Macaca mulatta: one gene and its partner. Each later gene encodes a partner of the first gene's protein in a complex. Links are inferred from orthologs where the notes say so. Each region holds a gene or a part of one and is shown in the gene's direction. Other genes may lie near its edges.

What was found.
Region 2: the proteins of TNNI3 (region 1) and TNNC1 are in contact, whole or in part, in a crystal structure (PDB 4Y99), measured with the Homo sapiens proteins. The link is inferred for Macaca mulatta from reciprocal best matches to the Homo sapiens genes TNNI3 and TNNC1. Residues at the interface, in NP_000354.4 of Homo sapiens: Glu32, Pro33, His34, Ala35, Lys36, Lys37, Lys38, Ser39, Lys40, Ile41, Ser42, Ala43, Ser44, Arg45, Lys46, Leu47, Gln48, Leu49, Lys50, Thr51, Leu52, Leu53, Leu54, Ile56, Ala57, Lys58, Glu60, Leu61, Glu64, Arg136; in NP_003271.1 of Homo sapiens: Asp3, Ile4, Lys6, Ala7, Glu10, Gln11, Thr13, Glu15, Gln16, Glu19, Phe20, Ala22, Ala23, Ile26, Phe27, Val44, Met45, Leu48, Gln50, Glu59, Met60, Glu63, Glu66, Asp67, Gly68, Asp73, Asp75, Glu76, Phe77, Met81.

The regions. Positions count from the first base shown.
Region 1 is NC_133424.1:67,467,019-67,478,469, reverse strand, and holds TNNI3 (troponin I, cardiac muscle), read left to right. Parts: upstream 1-5,586; 5' UTR 5,587-5,737; coding exon 5,738-5,748; exon of another isoform or gene 5,749-5,768; intron 5,769-6,022; coding exon 6,023-6,035; intron 6,036-6,197; coding exon 6,198-6,281; intron 6,282-6,686; coding exon 6,687-6,728; intron 6,729-6,999; coding exon 7,000-7,131; intron 7,132-7,908; coding exon 7,909-7,998; intron 7,999-8,538; coding exon 8,539-8,715; intron 8,716-10,789; coding exon 10,790-10,873; 3' UTR 10,874-10,940; downstream 10,941-11,451. Other genes in the region: DNAAF3 (dynein axonemal assembly factor 3), read left to right, coding at 1,228-1,353, 1,459-1,581, 2,156-2,291, 3,102-3,213, 4,013-4,087, 4,171-4,558. UniProt on the Homo sapiens protein: Troponin I is the inhibitory subunit of troponin, the thin filament regulatory complex which confers calcium-sensitivity to striated muscle actomyosin ATPase activity.
Region 2 is NC_133407.1:115,994,385-116,005,778, reverse strand, and holds TNNC1 (troponin C, slow skeletal and cardiac muscles), read left to right. Parts: upstream 1-4,795; 5' UTR 4,796-4,893; coding exon 4,894-4,917; intron 4,918-6,395; coding exon 6,396-6,426; intron 6,427-6,656; coding exon 6,657-6,803; intron 6,804-7,050; coding exon 7,051-7,165; intron 7,166-7,381; coding exon 7,382-7,518; intron 7,519-7,602; coding exon 7,603-7,634; 3' UTR 7,635-7,809; downstream 7,810-11,394. Other genes in the region: NISCH (nischarin), read right to left, coding at 93-275, 998-1,081, 3,156-3,248. UniProt on the Homo sapiens protein: Troponin is the central regulatory protein of striated muscle contraction. Tn consists of three components: Tn-I which is the inhibitor of actomyosin ATPase, Tn-T which contains the binding site for tropomyosin and Tn-C.

The DNA.
Region 1 (11,451 bases):
GGACTCCCGGGTCTGAGGGAGGAGGGGCTGGGGGCCTGCGCTCCTGGGTCTGAGGGAGGAGGGGCTGGGGGTCTGGACTCCTGGGTCTGAGGGAGGAGACACTGGGGGTCTGGACACCTGGGTCTGAGGGAGGAGGGACCGGGGGCCTGGGCTCCTGGGTCTGAGGGAGGAGACACTGGGGGTCTGGACACCTGGGTCTGAGGGAGGAGGGGCTGGGGGCCTGCGCTCCTGGGTCTGAGGGAGGAGACACTGGGGGCCTGAACTCCCGGGTCTGAGGGAGGAGGGGCTGGGGGTCTGGACTCCTGGGTCTGAGGGAGGAGGGGCTGGGGGTCTGGGCTCCCGGGTCTGAGGGAGGAGGGGCTGGGGGTCTGGACTCCTGGGATGAGGGAGGAGGGGCTGGGCCTGGACTCCTGGGATGAGGGAGGAGGGGCTGGGGGCCTGGGCTCCCGGGTCTGAGGGAGGAGGGGCTGGGGGTCTGGGCTCCCGGGTCTGAGGGAGGAGGGGCTGGGCCTGGACTCCTGGGATGAGGGAGGAGGGGCTGGGGGCCTGGGCTCCCGGGTCTGAGGGAGGAGGGGCTGGGGGCCTGGACTCCCGGGTCTGAGGGAGGAGGGGCTGGGGGTCTGGACTCCCGGGTCTGAGGGAGGAGGGGCTGGGGGTCTGGACTCCCGGGTCTGAGGGAGGAGGGGCTGGGGGCCTGGACTCCCGGGTCTGAGGGAGGAGGGGCTGGGGGCCTGGACTCCCGGGTCTGAGGGAGGAGGGGCTGGGGGCCTGCGCTCCTGGGTCTGAGGGAGGAGGGGCTGGGGGTCTGGACTCCTGGGTCTGAGGGAGGAGACACTGGGGGTCTGGACACCTGGGTCTGAGGGAGGAGGGACCGGGGGCCTGGGCTCCTGGGTCTGAGGGAGGAGACACTGGGGGTCTGGACACCTGGGTCTGAGGGAGGAGGGGCTGGGGGCCTGGACTCCTGGGTCTGAGGGAGGAGACACTGGGGGTCTGGACACCTGGGTCTGAGGGAGGAGGGACCGGGGGCCTGCGCTCCTGGGTCTGAGGGAGGAGACACTGGGGGCCTGAACTCCCGGGTCTGAGGGAGGAGGGGCTGGGGGTCTGGACTCCTGGGTCTGAGGGAGGAGGGGCTGGGGGCCTGGACTCCCGGGTCTGAGGGAGGATGGTGTAGGGGTCCCTCCATGGTGGGTTCATTGAGGGGTCCCTTCTTCCTGCCCCCCACCCCAGGCCCAAGTCATTCACACCCAGGAGTTCCGACGCTGGCGGGACACAGGCGTCGCCTTTGAACTCAGGGACTCCAGCGCCTATCACGTGCCCAACCGGACCCTGGCGTCGGGTCGCCTCCTGAGCTACGTGCGTGTCCACTGCCTGTCCTGGCCCACTGCTGCTTCTCGGAGACCCAGGAGTCAGGGTCCCCAGCCTCGACCTCACCCGCCTCCTCTCTCCCTCCTTTTCCAGCGCGGGGAGCGCGTGGCAGCGCGCGGGTACTGGGGGGACATCGCCACAGGGCCCTTCGTGGCCTTCGGCATCGAAGCCGACGACGAGAGCCTTCTGCGGACCAGCAACGGACAGCCGGTCAAGGTGCGCGGCGAGGCTGGGACTGGGGGTGGGAGTGGGGCTGGGGGTGGGGCTGGGGGTGGGGGTGGGGGTGGGAGTGGGGCTGGGGGTGGGGTGGGGCTGGGGGTGGGAGTGGGGCTGGGGGTGGGGCTGGGGGTGGGGGTGGGGCTGGGGGTGGGGGTGGGGCTGGGGGTGGGGCTGGGGGTGGGAGTGGGGCTGGGGGTGGGAGTGGGGCTGGGGGTGGGGCTGGGGGTGGGGGTGGGGCTGGGGGTGGGAGTGGGGCTGGGGGTGGGAGTGGGGCTGGGGGTGGGGCTGGGGGTGGGGGTGGGGCTGGGGGTGGGGTGGAGCTGGGGGTGGGTGGGTGCGCAAGACCCCGCCTCCACCGCAGGCCCCGCCCCAGCTCCAGACCCAACCCGTCGCTGGGCGGGGACGACTCCATTCAGGGAACAGGCCCCATCCCCGCGGGATAGGTCTCGCCCCACTTCACATCCTCCAAGCAGCTGCGGGAGTTCTAGTCCTGGACCGAGGACTCCCCGCGTTCTAAGCCCCGCCCCGCCATCCCGGCCCCGACGTCTGGCCACGCCCCTTCTACCCCTAGACTGCCGGGGAGATCACGCAACACAACGTGACAGAGCTGCTCCGCGAGGTGGCCGCCTGGGGGCGCGCGAGAGCCAGCCGGGGGGACCCGGAGGAGCAGCAGCGCTCGGAGGCAAGCCCGGAGCCAGGGACTCCAGGTAAGTCCCAGGTAGGCCAGGACTCCAGGTAAGCCAGGGACTCCAGGTAAGCCACGGATAACAACAGGTAAGCCAGGACTCCAGGTAAGTCCCAGGTAGGCCAGGGACAACAGGTAAGCCAGGGATAACAGGTAAGCCAGGGATAACAACAGGTAAGCCAGGACTCCAGGTAAGTCCCGGGTAGGCCAGGGACAACAGGTAAGCCAGGGACTCCAGCCTCCAAGTGTTTCACACTGGAGTGTGGACTGACATGATTTGGAATGCCTGGGCAAGTGACGGCTTCTTGATATTCTGTCTTTTCCTCTCTTCTCTTTCTCTCCCTTTCCTAAATTCTGAGAGCATGCTTAGGATTCTGAATTCCACTAGTAGAATTCAATCTTATCTGCAAAGGGCTAAGCTATCCAAGAATATTCTCACAGGGTGCTGGGTCCCAGCCCTCCCTTGAACACCATCCTGCACCCCGGATCCGCGCTGGGCCTCCTTCCAGCCATCCTCCAACCTGGCCCTCCCTGAGTGTCTGTCCGACAGGGCATGTCACATGTGGCCCTGGCCACCCACCCTCTTTCCCTCTCTAGTCTCAGTTGCCTGATCTGTACAGTGAGCCTCTGCCTGCTGGGCTGATCTTCCCAGAATTTTCCAGGAATCCACCTCAGAGGAAAGATTTTTTTAAAAGCTTCAAGAGGACAAAAAGTGTTATCTCCAAGTCCTGTGTGCCTGCCCAGCTCTGCCCAGCTCTATATATCTCTCTGGCTTTCTGCCCTCATGGCTCTGCCCGTCAGAGGTGACCCCTCTATCCCCTTCCTCCGGCAGCCCCCACTCCGGAATCATTCACTGTCCACTTCCTGCCGCTCAATTCTGCTGAGACTCTCCACCACAAGAGCTGCTACAATGGCCGGTTCCAGCTCCTCTATGTGGCCTGTGGGTAAGCAGGAGGCGTCTGTGCTCACAAAGACCCAGGATCAGGCCCCCAGCCCCTCCTCCCTCAGACCCTGGAACCCAAGCCCCAGGCCCTCCTCCCTCAGATCCAGGAGTCCAGGCACCCAACCCCTCCTTCCTCAGACCCAGGAGTCCAGGCCCCCAGCCCCTCCTCCCTCAGACCCAGGAACCCAAGCCCCAGCCCCTCCTCTCTCAGACCCAGGAGTCCAGGCCCCTAGCCCCTCCTCCCTCAGACTCTGGAACCCAAGCCCCTCCTCCCTCAGACCCAGGAGTCCAGGCCCCTAGCCCCTCCTCCCTCAGACTCTGGAACCCAAGCCCCTCCTCCCTCAGACCCAGGCGTCCGGGTGCCCCAACCCCTCCTCCTTCAGACCCAGGAGTCCAGCCCCTCCTTCCTCAGACCCAGGAGTCCAGCCCCAGCCCCTCCTCCCTCAGACCCAGGAGTCCAGGCCCCCAGTCCCTCCTCCCTCAGACCCGGGAGTCCAGGCCCCAGCCCCTCCTCCCTCAGACCCAGGAGTCCAGGCCCCCAGCCCCTCCTCCCTCAGACCCAGGAGTCCAGACCCAGCCCCTCCTCCCTCAGACCCAGGAGTCCAGACCCAGCCCCTCCTCCCTGGTCCCTGAGTCCAGACCCAGCCCCTCCTCCCTGGTCCCTGAGTCCAGACCTCCTGCTCCCTTCTTTCCCAGGACCCAGACTCCAGTGTTGCAGCCCCTCCTCCCTCAGTGTCTGGGTTCCCAGAGCCCCCTCCTCCCTCAGCTGAGTCTCGGCTTGTCCTCGGTCCTCACTGCAGGGTGGTCCATCTTCTCAGCCCCGAGCTTGGGGCCTGTGTGGCACCTGGAGGGAACCTGATTGTGGAATTAGCCCGGTGAGCCAGTGGGGTGGAGGGCGGGGAACATCCCGGCTGGGGATCAAAATCTGGGTCCCTGACATGGCGCTTCCCATCTGCAGATACCTGGTGGACGTGCGGCAGGAGCAGCTGCAGGGATTCAACACCCAGGTCGGGGAGCGAGCTCAGGCAGCGGGATTTGCTCCACAGACCGGGGCCAGGCCCTCAGAGACCTTCGCACGTTTCTGCAAGTCCCAGGACTCGGCTCTGGGCAGCACTGACCCAGCTGTGGAACCCAGAACTCCGTCCCTTGACGTCCTGGCCCAGCCTCTTGAAGCCAGCAGCCCAGCCCCTGAGGGCCTGACCCAGCCTCTGGAGGGCGGGACCCCACACTGGGAGCCCTGCCAGCTGCCCTCTGAGTCTCCAGGTTCACTCTCAGAGGTTCTGGCTCAGCCCCAAGGGGCTTTGGCTCTGTCCAACTGTGAGTCACACTCCAACACTGGAGTCTGACCCAACCCCTAGATACCCCTTATCTCCAACTTCCAAAGTCAGGTTGTAGGATGAGAACCCGCTGATACCATCCTAAGCTGGCTGCTAGAGTCCCCAATTTTATTCTAATCATTCCCACTCAGTACCCGCCACCCCCACCCTGGGAGTGTTGATAGAATTTCAAATTCTATTTTTGAGATTCTATTTCTAGAATTCTAGATTGTTCTCTCAGAATTCCAAATTCCACTTCTGAGGCCCTGAACCCAGTCTAGGATCGGACCCTGAGTCTCAAGCCCTTGACTTTGGCCCCCTTGTTCCCAGGCACCCTGTGGCTGGCTGGGGGCTGGGGTGTCTCCTCACCAGGGCCTGGTCAGCACCCAGATGGTTCAAGTAAAGCAAGTTATGTCCACCTCTCTGTGTGTCCAAGTGTCTTTCCTGTCCTATGTCCGTCTCCAGGGCTGGGAGAGAAAGACCCAGGAGTGGTGGACAGAGGAAGCCAGAAACCAGATTCCTGGGTTTCCGGGACTTGACCAGTGGGTCTAGGGAGGACAGGACTGGGGTCTGGACTGCTGGGTCTGAGGGAGGAGGGGCTGGGGGTCTGGACTCCTGGGTCTGAGGGAGGAGGGGCTGGGGGCCTGGACTCCTGGGTCTGAGGGAGGAGGGGCTGGGGGTCTGGACTCCTGGGTCTGAGGGAGGAGGGGCTGGGGACCTGGACTCCTGGGTCTGAGGGAGGAGGGGCTGGGGATCTGGACTCCTGGGTCTGAGGGAAGAGGGGGCTGGGGGCCTGGACTCCTTGTCTGAGGGAGTGGCTGGGGTCTCCCAGGGTCCTAGGACTGAGGAAGGAGGGGGCTGGGAGGTTGGGCATTCTGTGGGTCTGAGGGAGGAGGGGTCTAGGACTCCAGGATCAGAGGGAGGAGGGTCCGGAGTCCTGTGCCCCGAGGTGGCTGGTGATCCAGCTGGAGCAGGGCCCACCCCACCCCTCACGTGCCCCGTTATCTCGCATGGTGGGCAGGGGAGGAGGAGGTGACAGTATATTTAGTCTCTGTCCTCGCCCTTTATCTCAGTGTCCTCGGGGAGTCTCAAGCAGCCGGGAGGAGACTGACGGTCCCTGGGACCCTGAAGGTCACCCAGGCGGTCCCCTCACCGACCCTCCAAACGCCCCTGTCCTCACCTCCTGCCATTCCCGGCCTGAGTCTCAGCATGGCAGATAAGTGAGTGATGCCCCAAGGCAGTGGGAGTTGGGGGCGACCTCTCAGGTTCCCAAGAGGGGTCAGAGCTGAGAGGCTGGACCCCTGGCCTGTGAGGTAGGGGTAGGGGCTCTTGGTTGAAGAAAGGAAGCGGGTTTGCGAGTCAGACTCCTGGAACCAGAGGAAGGGGAAGCGGTGTCCCCCGACCTCTTGGTCAGAGGGGCTTCCGGGGGTCCCTTAGGAGACAGACAGGACACAGCCCACCACTAACCCCCATCCCCGGTTTCTCTCCTTCCAGGAGCAGCGATGCGGTGAGAGCAGCAGGCTAAGGCGTGGCTGGGACCCCCAGGGCCAGGGTGGGCGCTGCAGTGAGGGGTCTGGGGCGGGAGGCTGCAGCCCTAGCAGAGGGTGCGGTACGGTAAGGGCTGGGTGGGGTCTTGGTGGTGATGGGGTCCCCACTCCTCCAAACCCAGGCTGGGGAACCTCGCCCTGCACCAGCCCCAATCAGACGCCGCTCCTCCAACTACCGCGCTTACGCCACGGAGCCACACGCCAAGGTGGGAAGGGGCTTCCTGGGGGCCGAGTACAGGCGCTGGAAGGACCCGAGACCTTAGGAGTGGGGGGAGGAGCCAAGGCTACGAAGGGGGCGGGGACTACGCGGAGAGGCTTCAGGGGCGGAGTTTTGCAAAGGGTCACACTCGGATTGGTGACAGCCGCCTGTGGGCGTAGTTCCGTTGCCCTTGGATTTCCTTAGGGATAGATGGGAAGTGCCTATCCAAAGCCAGAGACCCGGATTGGTGGATGGGAATGAGGGGCGTGGCCTGTCATAGACTCAGGGCGCAAGTTGGAAGTGGGCCCAAATCTGGACCGGCTGGGGTTGCTGGGGGTGCCTTGAGGTCCCCTCCACCGTCGTCTCCGGATCCCCCTCCATGATGCTTCCTTGCTCCATCTCACCCTGGCAGAAAAAATCTAAGATCTCCGCCTCGAGAAAATTGCAGCTGAAGGTGAGCACGGGAGGTCCAGGGAAGGAGCAGGCACGTGCTCAGGGGGCGGAGCTTGAGAGTGGGTGGGGCTTTCGGGGTAGGTGGGCGGGAGTGGGCGGGGGTTTGGCCGCTCGGGGCGTGGCTTTATCGGGGAGTCCTGCTCCGGGTGGGGCGGGGCCTTGGAAAGGTGGAGACGAAACTCGAGGGTTTAGAAGGGCAGACGGGGTTCCCTACGCCTGGTCTTTTTCCTGATGCCCCGGGTGGGCTACGCTTCCCTCCCACCCCTCCGCAGACCCTGCTGCTGCAGATTGCAAAGCAGGAGCTGGAGCGAGAGGCGGAGGAGCGGCGCGGAGAGAAGGGGCGCGCTCTGAGCACGCGCTGCCAGCCGCTGGAGTTGGCTGGGCTGGGCTTCGCGGAGCTGCAGGTACCGGCTCCCAAGGCAGGTACTCCTGCCCAGCCTGGGATCCGAGGTTTCTAGTCCCCGGAATTCAGCAGAACAGCCTCTGTCCCCTCTTCTGCTCGGGACCCAGGCGTCCAATATGTCTGTCCTTACCCAATTCTATATGGTTCGTGGGACTCCCGGCCCCTAACACCCTTTGTGTGCAGGTCTCTGGAGTCTTGGCTCCAACCTACTCCTTCAGGATCATGTGGCCCTCCTACCCCAGACAGGGTCCAGGCCCCAGCCCCTCCTCCCTCAGACCCAGGAGTCCAGGCCCCAGCCCCTCCTCCCTCAGACCCAGGAGTCCAGGCCCCAGCCCCTCCTCCCTCAGACCCAGGAGTCCAGGCCCCAGCCCCTCCTCCCTCAGACCCAGGAGTCCAGGGCCCAGCCCCTCCTCCCTCAGACCCAGGAGTCCAGGGCCCAGCCCCTCCTCCCTCAGACCCAGGAGTCCAGGCCCCAGCCCCTCCTCCCTCAGACCCAGGAGTCCAGGGCCTCAGCCCCTCCTCCCTCAGACCCAGGAGTCCAGGGCCTCAGCCCCTCCTCCCTCAGACCCAGGAGTCCAGGCCCCAGCCCCTCCTCCCTCAGACCCAGGAGTCCAGGCCCCAGCCCCTCCTCCCTCAGACCCAGGAGTCCAGGCCCCCAACTCCTCCTCTCTCAGACCCAGGAGTCCAGGCCCCCAGCCCCTCCTCCCTCAGACCCAGGGGTTCAGGTCTCCAGGCCTCCAGGCTTCCCCCAAAAACACACACCACGTTCCTCCTCCAGGACTTGTGCCGACAGCTCCATGCCCGTGTGGACAAGGTGGATGAAGAGAGATATGACATACAGGCAAAAGTCACCAAGAACATCACAGAGGTGGGACGCATGGGCAGCTCGGGTACCTTCGGGGTAGTGAGATACCTGGTATTTGGTCTCTGCCTGACCCCTTGCAGCTGCTTTTGGCTGCACATCCCAGGAGACCCAGGACAACTGTGAGCCTGGCAGGGCTGGGGCAGAAGGATGAGTACAATATAGTCAAGGAAAGCTGTTGTAGGCAGAGGGAACAGCACATGGAAGGCCATGGGTTGGGAAACAGAAAATATCTTAGTGAACATTTTCAGGGCATCACATGTTGGTAAATTAGCTCAGGCATTGGCCAGGGAATTGTGATTTGCATGTAGCTGGACCAGGTTATGCCAGTGGTTTTGTGAGGTGAGGCTGGAGCGTATGAAGAGGGGGATTCAGTTCCAGGATTAGAAGCTTAGACTGGGAGCCTAAGCTGGGAAGAGACTGGATGAGGCCTTGGTACTGGAAGATGAGATAAGGAGAATAAAAAAGGAGTGTAGGGTGGAAGAGTTGGGTGAGGGGGAAATGGAGGCAGGAGTATCCACACCCCTGTATACTGCCTCCCCCCAGATCGCAGATCTGACCCAGAAGATCTTTGACCTTCGGGGCAAGTTTAAGCGGCCCACCCTGCGGAGAGTGAGGATCTCTGCAGATGCCATGATGCAGGCACTGCTGGGGGCCCGGGCTAAGGAGTCCCTGGACCTGCGGGCCCACCTCAAGCAGGTGAAGAAGGAGGACACCGAGAAGGTGAGTGTGGGCTAAGGCCAGGAAAGAGAATGCTGAGGGGAAGGGCTGTGGGTACCAACAACCCTGGGGCCTAGCTGGAGGGCAGACGGTGCTTGAAGTTGGGGGTAGAAGCAGCTAGCTAGTATGGGGTCCTCCAAAATGCAAGAGGAAGACAGGAAGTGCATTAGGGCTACAGGAAGTCCATGTAAGAGCAAAGAGGTGCATGAAGGGCTGGGTGCAGGGGCTCATGCCTGTAATCTTTGAGATTTAAAAATTTTTTTTTTAATTTCCTTTTTTTTTTTGAGATGGAGTCTCTGCTGCCCGGGCTGGAGTGCAATGACACCATCTCGGCTGCTGGAGTGCAGTGACGCCATCTCGGCTCACCGCAACCTCCGCCTCCCAGGATCAAGTGATTCTCATACCTCAGCCTCCCAAGTAGCTGGGACTACAGGTGCACACCACCACGATATTGTTTTAATTTCTACAAATTTCTTTTTAAAATTGATTAGTCATGGTGGTGGCATGCAGCTTCTCAGGAGGCTGAGGCAGGAAGATCGCTTGAGCCCATGAGATCGAGGGTGCAGTGAGCTATGACTGTACCACTGCACTCCAGCCTGGGCAACACAGTAAGACCCTATCTTAAAGAAGAAGACAGGAAAGACAGGAGTGGATGCCTGAAACCATGGATTGTACTGAACCCTATATATAATTTTTTTCCTATACAAACCTACGTACCTATGATAAAGTTTCATTTCTAAATTAGACACAGTAAGAGATTAACAATAAATAATAATAAAAGAAGGCTGGGCATGGTGGCTCATGCCTGTAATCTCAACACTTTGGGATGCTAAGGCGGGCAGATTGCTTGAGCTCTGGAGTTCGAGACCAGCCTGGGAAACATGGCGAGACCCCGTCTCTACAAAAAATACAAAAGTTGCCAGGTGTGGTGACTCACACCTGTAATCTCAGCGCTTTGGGAGGCCAAGGCAGGTGGATCATAAGGTCAGGAGTTTGAGACCAGCCTGGCCAACACAGTCAAACCCCATCTCTAGTAAAAATACAAAGATTCGCTGGGTGTGGTGGTGGATGCCTGTAATCCCAGCTACTTGGGAGGCTGAGGCAGGAGAATTGCTTGAACCTGGGAGGCAGAGGTTGCAGTGAGCTGAGATCTCACCACTGCACTCCAGCCCTGGCAACCGTGGGAGACTCCATCTCAAAAAAAAAAAAAAAAAAAAAAAGTTAGCTGGGCATGATGGCACACACCTGTAGTCCCAGCTACTCAGGAGTCTGAGGTGAGAGGATAGCTTGAGCGCAGGAAGTTGAGGCTGCAGTGAGTCGAGATTGCACTCCAACTTGGGTGAGGGAACCAGACCCTGTCTCAAATAATAATAATAATAGTAAAATAGAACAATTATAACATATTGTAATAAAACTCATATGAATTGGTCTCTTTCTCAAAATATCCTATGGCCCTGTAGTCACCCTTCTTTTCCTTGTGATGTGAAATGACAGTGCCTATGTGCTGAGATGAAGTGAGGTGGATGACATAGGCATTGTGACCTAGCATTAGGCTATGTCCTATGAGAATCCATCAAACTTATGAATTATTTCTGGAATTTTCCATTTAATATTTTTGGGCCATGGTTTACTGAAACCACATAAAGTAAAATTGCAGATAAGGATGAACTACTACAATAAGAAGGAAGGAGACAGGAAGTGCATAAGGCAGACAGAAAGTGTAGGGGAAAGATAGGAAGTGCAGGAAGGAGACAGGAAGTGGATAAGGAAAGACAGAAAGTACATGAGGGAGACAGGAAGTGCATGGGGAAAGACAGGAAATGCATGAGAAAAGACAGGAAGTGCTGGGGAAAGACAGGAAGTGCATGAGGGGGACAGGAAGTGCATGAGGGAGACAGGAAGTTATGGGGAAAATTGGCGGGGATTATCTTGAAAAGATGGGAAGTGCTCCAGAACTAGACACTTAGACAGGCATCCAGGGTAGAGTGGCCCCACAGGCTGGAGGGAAGACAGGGATTCTTGAGAGACTGGAGACCAGGAAGAGACCCTAATCTCTGACTCTATCGCCATCCTCCAGGAAAACCGGGAGGTGGGAGACTGGCGCAAGAACATCGATGCACTGAGTGGAATGGAGGGCCGCAAGAAAAAGTTTGAGGGCTGAGTCTTCCTACCTACTGCCCCCGCCCTGAGGAGGGCCCTGAGGAATAAAGCTTCTCTCTGAGCTGAAAGTGACTCCATGTCTATTACCCAGGGCTTAGGCAGGAGAGAGATGGGAAAACTGAGGGCAGGGCTCCCCCAAAGTCACACAGCAGGTCGGGGACCAGATGGATCTCCCATGTGGAGCACTCTTGGCTCTGTTATCAAAAAGAATTCCAGGGTTCATGAATTTGGAGAGGGGAGCTTTGTTTCTTAAGAAGCAGATCACAACCTGCAAACTGGAAGCGTGGCTTCTTGCCAAAAAACAGAAGCAGGCACTTTAAGGGAGGGAAGGGCAAGGCAGGAATTTACGCTGAGTGGGTTGGCTACGTGCACGTATTCAACTGGTTATAGAAGGAGCTATGAATATTCATGGACAGGTGGACACACACATGTGTGACAAGCAAACATGCATTTTTTTTTTTTTTTTTTTTGAAATGGAGTCTTGCTCTGTCACCCAGGCTGGAGTGCAGTGGCACAATGTCAGCTAACTGCAACCGCCACTTCCTGGGTTCGAGCCATTCTCCTGCCTCAGCCTCTCCA
Region 2 (11,394 bases), on another chromosome or scaffold:
CACCTCAAAGCTGAGGTCCCCCCTGGTTTGCTGCCTCAAGCTTGGCAGTTGTGGGTTTGCAGGCACAGGTGAAAACCCGATGAGGAACTTACATAGAAGTGAAAATGCAAGAAGTGGGCCAGCACTCTGGGGGTCACGCCAGGGAAGGCAGCCAGGAGTTTCTGGAGGTAGACCTCCAGATCCTTCTCCCTCTTCTCCACCAAGCTTCTTGAGTTTTTCCCAATTATCTTTTTGGGCGGAAGCAGATTTTTATCAATCTTTCTCTCTGCAACGAGCTGTAAAAAAACATAAGCACATCAACCACAGACTAAGAGGCTCTGTGCCTATGTAAGGCCAAGGCAAGAAGCCTGAGGACAGGCGCTTGTCAGCACTTGCACAGCCCCTCCCTGCAGTACCAAGATCAGTGACCAAACGAGGGCACCTGGGATTCGCCTCTTTCAATCCAAATTAGCATTAGAAATACCAATACAATTCCAGACAAGGAATTCCATCTGGAGACGTTGGAGACATTCAGAAAAGTAACACCTTTTGCCCCTAAAATTGCCATCTTTTCCAAGCCAGAGTACAAACCAATTAGGGCAGTGGTGTGTCTTTAAAACACGCTGTAAATGACCCAGAGAAAGACAGCATCTCCAAAAGCAAAGATGGAATCACAGCCAGATATTACAGCACAGGCTTTGGAATAGCCATAGCTAGGTCGAACAAGTTCAAACCTGTCCCCTTCCCAGGAAACTGTCTCAGCATCTCGTATCCAAGCTAGGACTGGAAATATTAAAACTGAAATTCAAATATGCTCCTTGCAGACTGGCTCATGCTAGAGCTGAAGGCTAGCATTTACATGCTATATTAATGAACGCAGTTATATTAACAAAGTGATTTATTAAGAACTATGGACATGGAGCCTCTTTTGCCCTAAAACTAACGTGTGGCACAATGGAAACTTGGCCTACAGGACCCTCCAGCCCTGAAATATGTGCTCCCAGCTCTTAACAGTTACCTTTTCATGCAGGTCATGGAAGTCGCTGTAGCGGTGCTTTACCGTCCACTCATGGCTGCCATCAGTGACCTGTATGATGTAAACCTAAAATGGGAAACCAAAAGCCCTTGTAGCAAGGGAGCCCCAACAAGGAGTCTCCTCCCCCTATAGCAAAAGCTGCAATTACCTTTCCCAATTATCTTTTATCAGTCTTTCTCTCTGCAACTCAGACCCACCCCAAGGCCAAAGTCAGGCTGCCCCTGCCCACTAGCCTCTGCACCTGACCCTTGCTGACCAGCAGGGCCCCTCTCAGCCTCCTCCATGGCCCAAGCAGTAGGGCTGGGAGGCACATGGGACAAGCCTGTGGCTCCATCCATCAGTAAGGAATGAAAAAAGTGATTACCACAACAAGTCACCTCTTTAGTTTTTTACCACCTGCCTCTAGGTAACTCAAAACCCAACCCGAGCTGCAGGCAAGGCCATTTCTTCCAAGGGAGGCAGAGGAGGGCCAGTTGTAGCCTGAGCATCTTCTCTGTTGTACTTCTTTCCAGGTGCCCTACCCTCCTGGAAGCAAGTCCTTTTCCAACCCTTTCAACTGGTTCATGGCTGTGATTTCTGCTACTGAGCCAGGAATCAAGGCACAAGCAGCTGATGTGGGGAGGGAGTGGTAGCAACTAAGCTCTATCAGGAGGCAATATGGCCTAGAGGTTAAGGAAGGCCTGGGTTAAAAACCTGGTTCTGTCATTTCCTGGCTGCAGCTTATGTGTCACTTATATAATTAACTTGGAGCCTAAGTTTTCTCTGAGCCTCAGTTCCTCCATCTTAGAATCAAGGACCAAGTAAGGCAATGCATGTAAAATGCTTTGTCCATGGGCCTGACCCATGGCAAGTGTTCAAAGGGTAGGTGTGTTCATAATATCCAACCCGGCACACCCGGAGACAGAGGATGGTAGGGTCCAATCTAGATCACCACCTCCCCCGACACACATGCAGAGGAGGGGTGCAGTCCAGAATAGGGAGAGCTTTTTGAAGATGGCCCTCTTGCTGAAGGTGCCAGCCATCAGCTCAGGGACCTCACCCGCCTCCTGCACCTAGTTTCCCTCTCCTCTCTGCAGCATGGAGCTGAAGCCTTCTCCAGCCCTGAGGAGCAGCCATTTCTCCAGGCTGGCCTGTTGCTCCAGGATCCACCCCTCTCCTCTTCCCATCCTGCCTGATTCCTTCCCTTTGCCCTCAGGAAAGGAGAAAAGAGCCTGATGAATGGCCCTCAGAGGGGGAGGTTAGGATGAGGGCCAGGGAGGGGGGTGCAGGCAGGGCCAAGGCCCCCACCCACTCCCTACCCTGCGGGAACAAAGGGGATGAAGCAGGGAGGTGCTCAATGCCTAGTTTTTGCCAGGCAGCCCACCAGGCTCACAGGCCTGGCATCCAACCCCATCAGAGTCGGAAACTACCCCCCATTTGTCCTCTGTCTCCCCCATAGCTTAGAAGTGTGTGTGCGCAGCTTGTTGCCCCATCTCGCTCCCACAGCCCAAAGTCACGAAGATTCCTAAGGTTTATAGGGCCTGCGCTTCAGCACTGAGACCACCCCTATTTCTCCACAGCTGGGCTCCACCCGTCCTCCGTTCTTGTCTCCGCCCGACCCCCAAGGCGTCTGCCCCCCAGGTCTATCCTTCACTTCTCAGAGAAAATCTCAACCACCACCGCAGGCTTCCCAGATCAGGGTGCTGGCGCCTTCTCTTTCTTCAAGGCCTGCGGAGCCTGACCCTTTTCCCTGATTCCATCCATCAGAGACCCTCTCCCCATCGCCTTTCTCCTGAACCCCAGTAACGGTCTCTCAGGCCGGGGCCCCTCCAGTCCTAGAGGATCTAGAGGCGTTTCGCCTCATCTAGACACCCCCCTCCCCAGGCCCCCTTTATCCCCAGATGCCGCCCCCAACCCGAGCCTCCCTTTCTGATCGCGTACCCTTTTCCAAACCGCCTCCCCAGGCCCCGAGCAACCCTTCACCCGAACCTGCGAGGCCCAGATCCCTTTCCTTAGATCCCCCGTCCCAGCCCCCTCGCAATCGCAGACCCTTCTACCCGCTCCTCAGGGTTGCAGATCCCGAACCCCTCCCCAAGCCCCCAAGTCGGACTCCCGGTCCCAGCCACCACCCCCGCTTCAGGTGCCCGCGCCCCCAACAAACCGTATAAGTGTCCACGAGCTCCGAGCCCACGACGCGAGCTTCCTTGGCCGGCTCGGCTTCCCGCTCGGGCCCGAAGGTGCGCAGCGTCGCCATGTTCGGGTCTCCGCCGCCGCCGCCGCCCGGCGCAGACTGGCAGCAGTAGGGGGCGGGGTCAACGTCCCACCGCCCCCCAGCCCCCGCCGCCCCACGCCCCCGCCGCGCGCTGCGCCGCCATCTTGGCCCCGCCTTCTTCCTGCGCCCTCGCCCCGCCCCTCGTGCGTGATTGACAGGCACCACCCACAGCGCGCGCGTGCGCGGTGCTCGCTTGCGTAATCTCTACCTGCTTGGCGCGGCGGGAGGTACACTGCGCAACCTGCTAGAAACTGAGACCCCTGGTGGTTACAGCTCTGGGCATCGCCCCTCCGTCCTCGGGAAGAGGGGACAGAAGGTCTCGAGCCTTCCGGGCTACACGAAGCAAGTCACTGCTCTTCCTGGCCTCAGTTTACTCCTCCGGATAAAGGAGGCCATAATAGTGCCTCACCTGGCTGTTGAGCTCTTTCTCTTTAGGGCAAGGCGGGTTGGAGGGGAAAACAGGACCTGTGCTTACCGCCGGAGCAGGGCGAGAACGATTCTGGGCCAGTTCTGAACCTCTCCGAGACTCGGAGATCTCTTGTCAGTGGGGCTCCTGGACAACTGAGTGGGTCGGTTCATGCGCGGCCCGGCACGCAGTAGTGCTCGAGGCAGGGAGCGTGTTTATCAAGAGGGATAAACTTGATACGAACTCTGTACGAAGGAGGGTGTAGGTGGATGGAGGGGTGTGTGCCGCCACTGAGCACAAGAACCCCACGGGGTGGCCTGCCAGAGTTTAAAACGAGGGAGACAGATTGACCTGGACCCAGGAACTACAGTGCTAGAATGGGGAACTGAGTCCTAAACCAAGGAAAAATGAGACCTAGAAGAGGGAGGTGGTAACCTAACTAGAGGGTGAGGAGGAAAGGAGCCTGCCACAGATGGGGCATCTGTAGGGGTGCTGTTGAATAACTGACAGCAGCTGACTTAAGCCCGAAGTGAGTACTTCTCCCTGGGCGGATGGGAGGTCTGGGGCAGGCTCCTCTGGCAGAAGGCTCCTGGCCACCCTGTCCTAAGGTGGATCAGTCACTTCCTCCTTCACCAGTTCCACAGCATCGTACTATGAGCTTGATATTCAAGGCTTCTCTTGGCAGGGCCCTGCACTCCCAGCCTCTCCTTGCACGTTGCACCCCCATTCCAGAGAGGTTGAGTTAAAGGCAGGGGTTGCCAAGTCAGTCAGATCTTGGGCAAGTCACCACTCCTCCAGAGCCTCAATTTCCTTATCTGGAAAGTGGTGGTCATGGCACCCGCCTCCCTGGTTGGATGGGAGCCTGAGCTGCTGTGTTGCCCGGGCCTTGCCTAGGGCCCACGACTTCGTAACTCCTGTCCTGCACTGGACTCATGTTTTCATTCATTCCAGAAACCTTTTCAGAGAGTCCCTTGGGGAGTGTGGGGGACAGGAGGGAAAGAAACCTGGTCCTTGTAGCCCTTCATCTGCTTCCTGCCCTGGGCAGAGGACACGGGGACTCAGGCCAGCCTGAGATCACTGGGACCAGAGGAGGGACTGGAGGATACTACATGCAGGGATGGGCTGGGCTGGGTTGGGCTGGGCCAGGAATGCGGTGGGGCAGGGCTATTTAAGTCAAGGGCCGGCTGGCAACCCCAGCAGGCTGTCCTGTGAGCCGCCAGCATGGATGACATCTACAAGGCTGCGGTGAGGGACAGGGCTGGGTAGGGCTGGGGTGGGCAGGCCCACTGGGGGCTCACTCAGCTCAGAATGGGAGGCCAGTAGCCCCAGGGAAGTGGTGGGGACCCAGGAGAAAGCCTACGTGCCTTCAATCCAGGCTGTCACAGGGACAGTGGTTCTGGTGTTTGGGGATGCAGAAGGGATGGGAGTTCAGGTTCTGAAGGGTGGTGGAGGATGTCGCAGCTTTCAGCATCATGTCTCACTCTCTGTTTCCAAGTGTCTGTAGTCTGAGGCACTGTCGCTCAGCCACATGTCTCTGCATTTGTCTCTGGACATTTTTGCCTTTCTCTTTTCATCTCTTCCTCCTGAGCTGTCTGAGTCCCCATTACTGTCTCCCTGTCCCCAACCCCCATTTCTGCCCCTCACATTATGCTTCTCACATGCTCAAAATCTGCTACCCCACTCCAGCCCCTTGACTGGCCGAAGATGCTTTGGGAGGTGGAGGGTGTGAGAGGAGTGGGCTGCAGAGCTTGAGTCCTGGGCTGGAGATGGGGCTTTGAAGTTTGAGGCAGGGAAGTTCTGGACATGAGGGAAAACCAAGGAAGAAGGAACAGAGAACTGGGGCCCCAGCTCCCATCATGCCTGGCAGGCTCAGCGCTCAGTGGCTTAGATAGGGGTGAGAGCGAGGGAACAAGGGCTGGAGAGTGGTCACCCCAAGCCCCTGCAGCCTCCTGGGTCACTGGGGGTCTTCAGATGCTATTCTATCCAGGGGTGGTGGTGACCTCCCCCAACCCCAGAGCAAGGACATCCTGGAATGAACAGCTGTCCCCAGGGGAACCCCTCCCTCAGCCTCCCTTACTCCTGGGCAGGGAAGTGCTACAGCCAGCTCTGGGGGCACGCCTGCTTATCCTGTGGGAATCCATGGAGCTGGAGTGGGGGCAGCCCTCCACCCAGTGCCCATACAAGGCCTGGCGGAGCTGGGGACTAATTTTGGCTCCTGAGGCGGCACTAGCAGGCCAGGGGGCCAGATAACGCTGCCCCACCCCCTGCATGCCAAAGTCCCCAGAACAATCACCAGGTTTAACTTTGTTCCTCATTAAAAATAGCCCAGTGGCCACCCTGGTCAGGTTACAGTGGGTGGCTCGCCTGCCCCCACACTGGTTTTATTGTCCCAACTTGAGGGACAGCTGTCCCTCGGGCCACCCGGCTTGAGTTTCATCAGGGGCTGAAAGGGCATTGAGTGGTCACTGACTATTGTTACTGAGGGTCACCTTGGCCCTGAAGGGGGTGCCCACCTGTCACCCTGGCCCTCAGCCCAGTCTCAGTGAGGCCAGCTGGGTCACATCAGGGCTTTGGGGGCAGGGAGGGAGGACTGAGACCTCCGCCCTGTGGCCTGGAAATAGCCTGCCTCCTCCGGCTCCAGCCTTCTCACCTGTGGAATGGATTGGTTTCCTCAGCAGCAGCTATACCTGAGTCTGAGCCCTGAGAATCCCTTTCCTTTCTAGGTAGAGCAGCTGACAGAAGAGCAGAAAAATGGTGAGAACCCCTATCACACATGTGGGAGACCAGCGGGGCCAGGCTGGCATGGGGACCCCTTACCAGAAGAGGACCTCAGACCAGAGAGCAGAGGCTTGGTCCCTCTTGCTCTGACCTCAGAGAGGTCTCTGAGGGAGGTGGGCAGGTTGGCAGATGGCCCCAGGGTTCTGGCCTTCTGAGGTCCTGGCTGCTGAGCCCCGACTACTATGCCCCCCAACCCCTGAACACAGAGTTCAAGGCAGCCTTTGATATCTTCGTGCTGGGTGCTGAGGATGGCTGCATCAGCACCAAGGAGCTGGGCAAGGTGATGAGGATGCTGGGCCAGAACCCCACCCCTGAGGAGCTGCAGGAGATGATTGACGAGGTGGACGAGGACGGTGAGCCCCCTCCTCCCCAGGCTCCAGAAGAACCCCAGCTGGCTGGGGGCTGGAATGCTGGCTCTGTTTAGCTGGGAGCGGTTTTGCCTATCTGAGCCTCAGTTGCCTCATCTATAAAATGGGCATAATGGCCACAGAAGCCTGGCATTTGGTGTGAGGGTGCGGTGAGAACATGGGGGTTCATGTCGAAGGTGCTGCCTGCAGTACCTACCCCGGCCTCTGTAACGGCCATGCCGCCCACCCCCAGGCAGCGGCACGGTGGACTTTGATGAGTTCCTGGTCATGATGGTTCGGTGCATGAAGGACGACAGCAAAGGGAAATCTGAGGAGGAGCTGTCTGACCTCTTCCGCATGTTTGACAAGTGAGCATGTGACCCTTGACCTCTGACCCTGACCCACACTCAAGCCAAACTGTAGAGGAGGGCGGTCTCAGATTCCAGGCCTAGGGACCCTGCGGCCTCTGCCTGATTGGGGAGAGGGATGCCCCATCTCCCAGTGTCCCTGCTCTGCCTCCTGGGGCATGGGTGGGGCTGCCTTATGCCCTCCCCACAGTCCTACCCTGAGCCCCCTCCCCACAGAAACGCTGATGGCTACATCGACCTGGATGAGCTGAAGATGATGCTGCAGGCTACAGGCGAGACCATCACGGAGGACGACATCGAGGAGCTCATGAAGGACGGAGACAAGAACAACGATGGCCGCATCGACTATGATGGTAAGTGGGTAGGTGGGCTGGTCCCCTGCCTCCATGCCCTGCCCAGCCCCCACCCCCGACCCACACCTGCCCCTCTTTCCACAGAGTTCCTGGAGTTCATGAAGGGTGTGGAGTAGATGCTGACCTTCACCCAGAGCTTCCCATGCCCAGCCTCCAACTCCAGCTGAGTCCTGGGGTTGGGGAGGGGGTTGGGGTCCCAGGACCTGAGCCTGGCCATATCCTCAACCCCAAATCCCCTGACTCCCTCCCCAACTCTGTCCTGGGAGATGCAAATAAAGCGTGCTCCCCGGAGGTCTGCTGTCTGCCTCTGGTGTCCCTGGGCCGGGGACTCTTCCTCAGGACTCACTCTTACCCGATGACTGCTTCCTTCCCTGTCGTAGGCAGGCTGGCTGCAGTGCCTGGTGCCTGACCGCCACTCCACACTGCCTTCTGCGGGGAGTGAGATGAGATCGGAGACTGCTGTGTGGCCTGCCCTGCTGGCTGCCCTCTATCACTCCTCATGCCCAGGCACCATCTCCAGGGATTCAGCATCTGGAGTCTGTGGGGGCCTAGAACCCCTACAAGTTCCTGGGGGCCATCACTTTGGTCAACCACTGTGGCAGCCTAGGGGTTCTCTCCTTGGAGAGAGTGGTTCACTGCGGTACACAGCTAGGCCCTGAATGCTGCCTGGCAGAGCAACCCCCGTTACCTCTCAGCCGTGGCTGGAATGGAGCTGAGCCTGTGGGGTCCCTGCAGGCCCACAGTGCTAGTTCACCCGCCCACTCACTTGTATTTCCTGCCAGCAACATTGACTCCCAGGGCCAGAGGCGCATGGAGTTGGCTCTACCTCCCCTCACCTGTTTGGCCCAGAGAGGTACAGGGACCTGTTAAGGTCATCCAGTGAGTGTGGGGGAGAGCAGAGCCAGCTGGCTTCCAGCCAAGGGCCCTGTCGGATGGGCCACATCCAAATGGGCGTGACTTCCAGTTCCTGTGAACCTCAGAGGCTCGTCTCCTGTGGCCCAGTCTCTTTCCCTGACAGGGACAGAGGCCCAAGGCCTGGCAGCTCTCAGCTTAGTGGGAGCGCCCAGTCCAGAGCTGCTGCCAGACAGTGATGCTGTCTTGGGGGCATGGGCATTGGGGGCTGCAAGGAAGTGGAGGTGTCAGCAGTGGTGTTCGCAGGAGGGACAGCTGCCAGCAGCACCCAGACTCTAGCCAGAATGCCATCAGCTGTCCTTGCCCCGCCCAGCCACTCCACTCTCTGCACCTGTGCCCCAGCCTTGGCATTCCCCAGACAGGCCCAGCATTCCAGAGATGGTCTTGGAATTCTAAAGATGCCTCTGGTGGAGGCCAGAGCTAGCGAGAACTTTCTGGTCCCTGGAGAGACCTGAGGGGAGTGGAGGGGAGTCCCTTTAGGCCTGCCCTTGTGAGCTGGAGAATTGGGGACCTCTACAGACACCCAGAGTGACCCAGGAAGGGTGACATCCAAGGAGAAAAGGAAGGGCCACATTGGGCAGCACCACCAGCCAGTGTACCACTCAGTGGTTCATCACATACCTCCCATGTGCCCAGCACGGGCTGGATGCTGGGGCATGTCACAGTGAGGCCCGGTCCCTAATCTGGTGGATTTTTGTTTCTTTTTTGAGACAGAGTCTTGCTCTGTCACCAGACTGGAGTGCAGTGGCGCAATCTTGGCTCACTGTAACCCCTGCCTCCCAGACTCAAGCGATTCTTGTGCCTCAGCCACCTGAGTAGCTGGGATTACAGGCGCCCGCCACCACACCCGGCTAATTTTTGTATTTTTAGTAGAGACGAGGTTTCACCATGTTTCCCAGGCTAGTCTTGAACTCCTGAGCTCAACTGATTCACCCATCTTGGCCTCCTGAAGTGCTGGGATTACAGGTGTGAGCCACCGTGCCCAGCCAAATCTGGTGGAATTTTAAGGAGATGAGTACAGTGGGAAAACCAGCACGGGCTGGAGTGGAGACTGGAGGCGTGGTGGGCCCATGAGTTAGAGTGGTCTGGGAAAGCTCCCTGGAGGAGCTGCCTGTGCGTGAGATCTGGGGGAACCACAGGGAACCAGCCATGGGAGGCCATGGAGAAAGACTGGGAAGGTCTCAGGAGCAGAAAGGCAGTGTTGGGCTGGAAACCAAGCCCCAGCAGTCTTGGGAGACGTGGGCAGTGCCAGGCCCCATGAGGACCCAGTCAATGTGAGGGGTGAGGGCTGCAGAGGACAAAAGGGGTGGGAGAGAGGGTCCCAGGAGCTGGCATGAAGTGGGGGCAGGCTCTGGGCAAGAAAGCCCGGTGGCTCCCAGTACAGTGGGATGCTAGGGAGAGGGGGTCGGGGGTGCATGGATTCAAGGCACATTTTGGAACTAGGATGGACAGAATTTGCTGAAGGCTTGAATGTGAGGGGTGAGAAATAGGAAAATCCAAAATGACCCTTAGCTTTTTGGCCAAACTGCCATTTCCTGAGATAAGGAAGCTGGGGGGAGGCACAGGTTCAGCCGTGGGGTATTGTGAAGTGGAGGTTACTTCCCAACACTAGGTTTTAGTTGGCTTTTTTGTTTTTTTCTTTTCATTTTGAAATTCCAGGCTTGCAAAAAATAGTACAAAGAACTCCCATTTACAGGTCCCCCAGCTTCCCTGTGGTTAACATTTTAACCACAGAAGGATCAAACACAGGAAATGAATATTGACATAAACACTGCTAATTAATCTGCAGAGCTTATTGGAGTTCTGTCAGTTGTCCTAAAGTCCTTGTCCTGGAGCAGGAGCCAATCCAAGATGGCACTAGAGTGACCTCATCCTCCTGTCTCCTTACTCCCCTCCAGTCTGTGACGGTCCTCCGTGTTTCCTCGTCACGTCTGAAGAGCTCAGGCCAGTTATTCTGTAGAATCTCACTCACTTTGGGTTTGTCTGGTGGCCCCAGGGTTTGGGAACTTGCAGGCCCCCAGGCCTCGGCCGCCTGAGCAGGAGGGTTTCCGTGGAGCAGAGGGGTGGGAGCCTGACAGGAGTGAGCTGAAGTACAGGGGAGATGGCGGGTGTGGGCAACACCCAGGGAACAGAGAAAGGGACCCAAGCTGAGGGGCGATGTGGGGTCCAGGGAAGCTTGTTTAAGAAGGGGTAAGGGGCCGGGCGCGGTGGCTCAAGCCTGTAATCCCAGCACTTTGGGAGGCCGAGACGGGCGGATCAGGAGGTCAGGAGATCGAGACCATCCTGGCTAACACGGTGAAACCCCGTCTCTACTAAAAAATACAAAAAACTAGCCGGGCGAGGTGGCGGGCGCCTGTAGTCCCAGCTACTCGGGAGGCTGAGGCAGGAGAATGGCGGGAACCCGGGAGGCGGAGCTTGCAGTGAGCTGAGATCCGGCCACAGCACTCCAGCCTGGGCGACAGAGCGAGACTCTGTCTCAAAAAAAAAAAAAAAAGAAGAAGGGGTAAGGGAATGGCTTGTATGCTGGGGTATCAACCCAGTGAAACAGGAAAAGGGCCGTGTGAGATGTAGGCAAGCTCTGCAGCTGGCCAGTGGCTACTGGGCGCCGGACAGTGTCTGCCAGGGCCCGATTCTAGAGCTGGTCACAGGTGCAAGCTGTACAGGGAGAAGGAGGAGTCTCAAGGCAAGGAGGGGCAGGCAGATGGGCCTCAGCGAGTGAAAGATGTGGCAGTGGGGGTGCTGAGCTGCCGATGGTGATGTCCAGAGGAAGGGATGTTCCAAATGGACAGGCAGAAGGTCATGCCCTTATTGGTAGTGACCTGGAGGGTGGGTAGCTGAGGTAGGGGGAGGGGACCATGACAATGAGGAAGACAGTGACCCAAGAGATAGGAGGGTACCAGGGATGTGGGATGTCAGTGGGATTGGGGCGAAGAGAGTTAAGGCCTCTGTGAAGGAAACAGGAGA